Linked DNA regions of Rattus norvegicus. The protein of the gene in region 1 purifies or fractionates together with the protein of each later gene. This does not show direct contact. Links are inferred from orthologs where the notes say so. Each region holds a gene or a part of one and is shown on either strand. Other genes may lie near its edges. The genes, in order: Gid8 and Rmnd5a.

What was found.
Region 2: the proteins of Gid8 (region 1) and Rmnd5a purify together in Homo sapiens (affinity purification with mass spectrometry; 5 studies listed by BioGRID and IntAct, counting the BioPlex papers as one, with this or other methods). This does not show direct contact. The link is inferred for Rattus norvegicus from reciprocal best matches to the Homo sapiens genes GID8 and RMND5A.

Annotation. Positions count from the first base shown.
Region 1 is NC_086021.1:188,202,273-188,206,523, reverse strand, and holds the start of Gid8 (glucose-induced degradation protein 8 homolog), read right to left. Parts: upstream 2,954-4,251; 5' UTR 2,771-2,953; intron 236-2,770; 5' UTR 224-235; coding exon 106-223; intron 1-105. UniProt on the Homo sapiens protein: Core component of the CTLH E3 ubiquitin-protein ligase complex that selectively accepts ubiquitin from UBE2H and mediates ubiquitination and subsequent proteasomal degradation of the transcription factor HBP1.
Region 2 is NC_086022.1:104,959,868-104,963,682, reverse strand, and holds part of Rmnd5a (required for meiotic nuclear division 5 homolog A), read left to right. Parts: intron 1-1,121; coding exon 1,122-1,256; intron 1,257-2,664; coding exon 2,665-2,765; intron 2,766-3,815.

The DNA.
Region 1 (4,251 bases):
CAGTGCAACCTAATTTTATCATTACACTTCAGGGGTAAAGGGCTACTTGTTTAAAAAGGGAGAGCTACTGTCAATTGGTGGCCCTCACGCACAGCCAGCCTTTACCTGTGACTAAGTAGTTCATGATGAGTCGGTTCATGTCTGCGCGCTGAACATGTAAGTTGTTGAGCTTTTCCATCCATTCATCTTTGGTTATTTCATCGGGCTTTTCTGCGTAACTCATTATGACTTATTTCTACAGGAAAAGGATACAATAATTGGGGAAGAATTCCATGTCCAGTGTAATCATTTTAAAAAATAAACGCAGCAGTGTAGTAAGTGCAAGAGTAGGAGGATGCTTTCAATCTTGAAACTGACAAGCAAAAAATGGCCTGAGAAAATGACACGTCGGGGGTAGCGTCAAGGTCAAAGGTGGGAAGTATGGTAAGTGAAATAAAAGTCACAAGTTGTAGAATGAAGAGACCAAGACATCACGCTGTGAAGGAAGGGGTTAGGTTTGAAGCTAAAAGCATGAAGGGGAGGGTTGGGGATTTAGCTCAGTGGTAGAGCGCTTGCCTAGCACGCACAAGGCCCTGGGTTCGGTCCCCAGCCCCGAAAAAAAGAAAAGAAAAAAAAAAGTATAAAGGGGAATCACTACAGAGTTATAGGTTAAAAACTGCATGTTATGGTGTAAAAAGGACGCAGCAATCAAGAGGAAGACAAGTGTTAGTGAAGGGTGGAGTCTCCTTCAGCGCCTTCGTGGGAGAACAAAGGTGTGAGAAGGACGATAAGGGGACACATGCTTCCTTCCGTTGGACAATGGTACTCCTACATCCTACAGGCACCAGAGAGTGTGCTGTTCACTGATGCACTTAAGTTGACAAAGGGTGGACCACACTCCCCAAAACAGTCACTCAACAAGATCCTGAATAAAGGAGCTTTGATATACAAACGCCAACTCTGAACCCTTGGGCACTCGTGTTCTGAAGAGAAGGCTGCTGTTTTTCACACAGATCGTATGGCACAAGCTCTGGTCTGCTTCATGAATGACAGCCTCGCTAGAGACCAGAGTACGGTACAAGCATGCAAGTCTGACTTGGTCGAACATGCATATTCACACTCGGTGTGAAGGAAGCTAAAACACGCTATCAAGTTGACTAATGGGTTCAAAGAGACAGTTTTAGCTGTGTGTGTTGACCACGATTTTAATACCAGCGCTTGTGAGGCTGGGGCAAGTGGATCTACAGATGGAGTTCTGGGCCCACCAGAGTTACACGGTGAGACCCCGCCTCAAAAATAAATAAAATAAAGAAATTCTTACATTCAGAGTACTTAAGACTTTCGAACATCACTTTAATAAGAAGTACAAGTGTGACATGTTTTGCAAAATCAAATATGAAACAAACCACATGGCATGTCTTTAGCACAAAATACTGTGTGATCTTAAAACAAAGACATGGTATCACACAGGGATTGTTTCATGGGGGAGCAAGGCAGGATGGTAGAGCCACGGGGAGGGTGGGGGTAGGGGAGGGACAGTCAAGGTAACTCTAGGATGGGCTGGATCATTTTCACTTTGTCAATAACATATACTTCGAGGATATTACATTGTGCACTGCAAAGGATGAACTATTCTGTTTTAATAAGTCATAAAATTGAAAGACGGCTCTGGTGTCTGGTCTGACAATGGAATGCACATTGCCTGGAAAGGGCTAAGCAGTCCAACGAAGAGACCTCTTAGTGCTGGTAGAGTGGGCAGCAGAAGAGACAAGATCAAGCTTTGGCCTCCAAATCAATGGCAGCTGTTGCTGGACTGAATTTGAAGGGACAAGAGAAAAGAAGCATGGACAAACAAATTGGAGGTTTCAAGTGTCAGGCCTTAGAAATGGGAGCACGGCAAAGTGTGAGAGATGCAAGTAAAACAGGTTGGAGGAGCAGGGCAAGTCTGGGGCAGAGGACTCTGGCAGTTAGACAGGTGTGGTAGGACTCTGGATTACAGGTCCCGGGACCCACGCTAGAAACAGGAAAGGTATTTAAGCAAGAGTTTAAAGAAAGATTTAAGATATTAAAATTCCTAAGCCCACTTGCGGATAATTGCGGTTAATATTTGGGGCATGCCAACACTTCTAGTTCTGGCAGACTTGAAGGTCCCTAAAATCTAGTAGGGGGCGGGGGAGGCGGGAGGCCGGGGCCCCGGGGAAGTGAAACTGAACAGGGCTGATGTCTCTCCATGCCACAGGATAACAGAATTCACCGATTCTTAACTTTTATTCATAAGTGAGCTAAAGATCAGTCTGAAAAAAAATGTTTCCCAAGAAGGTCCTTCCCTCTCGATTTCCACTCGGCGCCGGGAAAGCTTATCAAGTAAGGCTGAGGACAGACAGGGGCTAGTGTTTCTGTAGGATTCAGTGGTTCCCAAAATTCAGCGGTTACACAGTGGACCGGGATGCATCCTAAGCCCCGAGGATGACTTTTAACGCAGTAGCTGCGTCTTCGCCTTTCGCTGTCCCCTTCACTGCGCCTTTAATTGCAGAGATGTGCGAACATTTGCAATAACTATTCCGGTCCCGGCAGCACCCCGACTAACAGTGCGGCCTCCGACCTACCACTCCGGGGCCGGGCGGTGAAGGGCAGGACTGACCGCCCTGATCCCCGCTCTCGCCTCGGACGCCCTGGGCAGGGCAGCCTGGAGAGCACAAGCCCCCGACCTCTGACCTCCGCGCCGCGGCCCACCCCGGAGCCCCGCAGAGACGCTCGGCACGGCCGTCAGGGCCCGCTGCGGCCATCTTACCGTGCGGATCCCGCCTCCCGCGCGACAGGGTCTGGGTGGCGGCTCCGCGGCCGCTCCCGGGGCCGGGGAGGGGCGGCAGAGACGGCGGGAGATAGAGGAGGAGGCGGAGGCGGAGGCGGAGGCCGCAGCGGAGGCGGGGGCGGGGCGCGAGGCGGAGGTAGATACACCGGCGTCTGCCCCCAGACACCTATCGCGAGATCGTAAGATCTCGAGATGCGAACTGGCAACCAATGGAATCCTCTCGCGAATCTGCTGGGCAGGCGGTCACAGGATACTAGGGTCTTGTCTTCCGTTCTTGCGCACAACTCTTTGGCAGTGCCCTAGCTCTACGGGTTGGCGCGAGAGTCAAAAGGCTAGTATCGCTTCTGCGCAAGATGGCTGCTGCGGGGGCATTCGCGTACTGAGTGCTAGCGCGGGGATGGAGACGTGTAGACTGAGTTCGAAATGAAGGTCCCAGCTCTTTTCTTGTTTTGTGTGTGTATGTGTTGTGTGTGTGTGTGTGTGTGAAGCGGGGGGTGGTTGAGGAATAGGTGTGTGTGAACACCGGAGTGCGCGAGATGAGGGCATTCCCGGCCTTTAGTCCGCCAGGCTCTAGTCTCAAAGACAAGGCCTCCGGACGTGAGCGAGCTCCTAGGATTTATTCCGGGAACGTTGTAATAGAGGCCAGGTCAGCGTCAGAACAACGCTGCTTAGAGCGATCCTTGTGGCTTCGCTGGAGAGCGGACTGCAGAGGCTCTCGTTCCCTCGTTTCTGGGCACTCAAGAAGGTGACTCCCTAGTGCTGGGGTTCTCAGGGAATGGAGCTTGCACGGATGTTAATCCCTGTTTCTAAGGCAATCATGGAAGCAGAGCAGATCCATGCTTCAAAAACGCTCACCGTGGGGATTCCTCCAGGCCGCCGAGGGTATTCCCTACTTCAGGGCGTTCACAGAGAGTGTCTTAGCGGCGTACGGTGGGGACCCAGCTCAAGACTCCGACGGAGGGAATCCCAGCCGCCGGAGAAGGGACTCCTATCCCTCCCACCCCCCCGAATCCTGTTTATTCATTGCCTTGAGATGGGTTCTTAGAGATTCCGGTAAGGGATGGGGGTAGTTAGAGGCCCTCGCTGGAGTCGGTAAATGAGTATTTGCATATTCATGTGTTTATTGTCTACCGGAGGGGAATGCAAATTTAGTCATTGTAATGTAAAGGAATTCTGGAATGCTTTTGGGGGGGAAATGTTGGGCAGTCTGAGATAGTTGAGTGTGCTTGCTTAAAAATGAACTGAGTTTAGGGAAAGCAACTTCTCATTGAGTCACTGAAAATAAGGCCAGTTTTGCAGATCTGTTGGACACAACGACCACAGTGGCTGTACGCGCTAAGTCTGCAACTCCATAGCTCTAACCAAAGCTGTTTAGGTTGGTATTGACAAACTGTGTAGCGCTTACTTTACTGGGTAGAGTTGGATATCAACTCAAAAGTGTGCAAGGGAAGAGGCCAGTA
Region 2 (3,815 bases), on another chromosome or scaffold:
TGTTCCTGCTTTTCTGTGTCTCTGGTGAGTTTATTTTGGTTACTGTGTCTTCTAATTCTTTACTCTGTCCTTGATGTTTCAAGAATGTTTGCTTTCTGGGGCCTGAGATTGGGTTCAGACAGCAAAGAATGCCTCAGAATTTGACAATTTTGAGTTCTGTCTCTAGAACTCATGTGGTAGAAAGGAAGAACAACAATGCGTTTTTCAAAAGAGTATTTGCCCTTTTTGGAGAACATTTTTGTAATGATAGCTTAGAAGTCTTGGGTTTCAGCATTTGTCATTTTGGCCTTGGTGCTTGCCACTTCCTCTTCTGTATCATGTGAACTGTGTTTGGTTCCTTCTATGCTAAACAAATCTTGAGTTGCCCTCTGATGGGCAGATGCTAGTCTTCTGTGGGTTGCAATTCAATTTGGTTCACAGTTGTCTTGATTGTACTTCTGAGTAGCCAGTCTATCTTACTTCGGTTTTCAAAGTCAGAAGTATGCTCTGTGGGGTCAAAACTAGTATCCACAGCTCAAATGTAGGCCTAATAATAGAAACCACCCTTTACACCACCTGTCTCCTCAGTCCCAGCCTCAGAACTGCAGTTAGTGGGCTGTGCCATGTAGCAGTTCTATGTCCAATGAGGGGGTGTGTGTGTGTGTGTGTGTGTGTGTGTGTGTGTGTGTGTGTGTGTATGTGTATGTGCATATATGCATGCATATGTGTGCATGTGTGCTGTGTGTATTTCTGTCCTTCACATTCCAGACAGAGCTGCATTGAGCATGCTTTTAACAGATTACTACAGCATACATCTGAAAATATTGCTATAGTATAATGCCCAGAAATTGGCTTATTGATTTTGGTTTCACAGAAGTCAGTGTTAAGTCTATACATTTTCCTAGAGTGCTTCTTGATTTTTTTTTTAAGTTCATATTTATCTACCAGTAATCTCCAGGAGTGAAAAGATTTAAAAGAAGCACTAGGAAAATCCCTGCCTGTGATTGTGTAGATGAATTGAATTGAGTACTTCCTGGTAACACCAACGGAAGATGTAGACCTTTCTGTAAGATGTTTCTTTCTGTTAAGTGAGGTGAAAAAAGAAAGTCATCTATACACGATTATTTTCCATTTGCCCCCAGAATTTTGACTCTGACATTAGCAGTGTGGGAATAGATGGCTGCTGGCAGGCAGACAGCCAGCGGCTTCTCAATGAAGTCATGGTGGAACACTTCTTCCGACAAGGAATGCTGGACGTGGCCGAGGAGCTCTGCCAGGTAAGCATGTGCCAGTGAGGCATAGGGAAACAAACAAGGCCGTGCTGTGGGGTCTGCAGTGTCTGCGGGTGGGACTTGGGGGCACCTCAGACTGTAGGTCGATTTGTAATATTTTAATTAGCATGAATAAGTAATTTTGCTAGGAAATTTTTTAACTATGAAGATTCTAGTGCTATAATTTAGTATCTGAATTGCCCTTTCCTCAAGAAATTACACTCAGAGGAAATTACACTCAGAGTTTAATATCCAAATTGTTATTTCTTTGTTCGGAGTCTGGTAGGTTGATTTCTGGTCATGAGTCAAAGTGTCAAAGTAATACTACTTTTCCTGTGTGGCCCAGGCGGCCTTGACTCCTCCTGTTTCAGTCTTCCCAGTGCTACATTTAGTGGTGTGCACCATTTACTCCAGATCCTTTTCTTCCTGTGATAGGGAATGTTAATATAGCAGAAAAAAGAAACAAAAATAGTGATGTTTGGTTTTCTGATCTAATAAAACTATATCAAATGAAATTTCAGGTTAAAATTTACATGAGGTGGGCATTGGCCATCTTACTTCTGTTAGCCAGGAACACCATGTAGTCACGATAGTAGTAACTGCTGTGTATTATGTGTTTACTCAGGCCACACCCTGCTTTTCCTTGCATTAGGAGTTATTGTTGCTATTCCACACATAAGGAGTGTGAGGTTTGGAGAACCAAGGAATATACCCAGGGCCATTCAGGGAAGGAAATGGGGGATTCAGTATTCAGCCCTTATTCATTTCTCCAAACTCCATTCTGTTGCATTGTTGTTGTTGTTTAAGAAAAATGAAGAACTCAAAAGATAAACTATTTAAATTGCAGCATAAACCAGTCTATAATCTGAGCCTTTCTGTTTGAGACGGTTAAAATCAATGATACGTGGGTTGCTTTGTACCTTTAGAGGTGCGTGTGTCCATACCGACCTCACAGTAAATTGTCTTATTGAAGATCACTTTGTTTGCAAGTAACAGACTCAAGATAGAAGCTTAAACAAAGTTTGTTCTTTTCGTATAGAAAGAAAGGTAGTAAGAGAGGCTCATAGCACCTGTCCCGTGAAATTCTTAGACACTCCTCGTAGCTCTGCAGTTCCCAGTGAGCCCTCCTCTGCTTGTGGCCAGACTCCAGCTGTACCTTCCGTCCCAGGGAAGAGTATGTATTTACTTCGCATTGGCCTGAGTGCAGAACCGCACTCAGCTAGAGTTCAAGGTTGGTGCTTGGCTCAGATTTGACTGAAGCATAGAGGTTGGACAGTCTCTGTTTCTGCCCCAGAAGTATATGCTAAAAGAAAATTATCTTTGACAGCCCTGTATTTTATAGTCTAGATCAGCTTTTCCCACTGTGAATGATTATACTAACAGGTTTGTCTGTTTGTCTGTTTTTTCCTTCTAGGAGTCTGGTCTGTCTGTGGACCCAAGTCAGAAAGAACCATTTGTGGAATTAAATCGAATATTAGAAGCATTAAAAGTCAGAGTTCTAAGGCCTGCTCTTGAGTAAGTTACTCTTTCTTTTAGGTACTATGAGGGGAACTTTGTAAGAAAATTTATTTGTAAAACAGAAGAGAGATATTTTGATAGGTCTGTCTTACCTAGGGTAGAATAAAGAGGATTTGAGAAAGGACTCTTGGATGTCTTTAAACCGAGTGAAATAGAGCTGCATAATATGAGAACATGGGCAGCCTACTTAACATAACAGTTGATCATGTTTCCAGAAGAAAAATAGGTTTACTTATCTATGCTCCAACACCTCTTTGGATAGACCAGTATTAAAACTGAAGCATTATTGTTTCAGCAATCTTTACATGATATTCGAGCTGCTATAATGTATTGAGGGTTGTGCTCTCATTCTGAGAGATGCTTTAGTTGGCTATGGGAGCTAAGTGATATTCATGAACAGATGAAAAATTCTGTATGAAAGATGTGTGTGAGTGTGCATGAAAGAGAAAGAGAGAAGGGAAAAAGGAATGTGTCAGGAGTCGAAGATAAGAGAATTCAGGTTTATGGGTGTCATATTGTATATGTGGAGATCAGAGGACAGCTTTGGGAGTCAGTTTTCTCTTCCACTGTGGATTCTTAGGATTGAACTCAAGTCATCAGGTTTCTGCTGCAAACTAGCAAGCACTTTAACTGACTGAGTCATGCCACTGGCCCAGATCACCACAATATACATGGTGCTATGAATTGAACCCAGGGGGATGCACAAGTGAACAACTGGATTTTGATGATTTACTGTGAACATACCATTTACTTGAGTTATCTGAAATATACCTGGGTACTTGTTGCTGGAATAGGGTTGGTGTGTGGTTTAAATAAGAATGGCCCCTACAGGGCTTATATAGTTGAAGAGTAGGGGTGTGGTGTTGGGGGAGTTGTGGGCCTTTTTGGAGGAGGTATGTCACTGGAAGTGGTCTTTAAGGTTTCAAAAGCCCACACCATTCCCAGTTGTGATCAGATAAAAACTCTCAGCTTCTGCTCCAGCACCATGCCAGCCCCTTGTCCCCTTGCTCCCTATTCCCTATTCCCTGCTCCCTGCCCCCTGCCCCC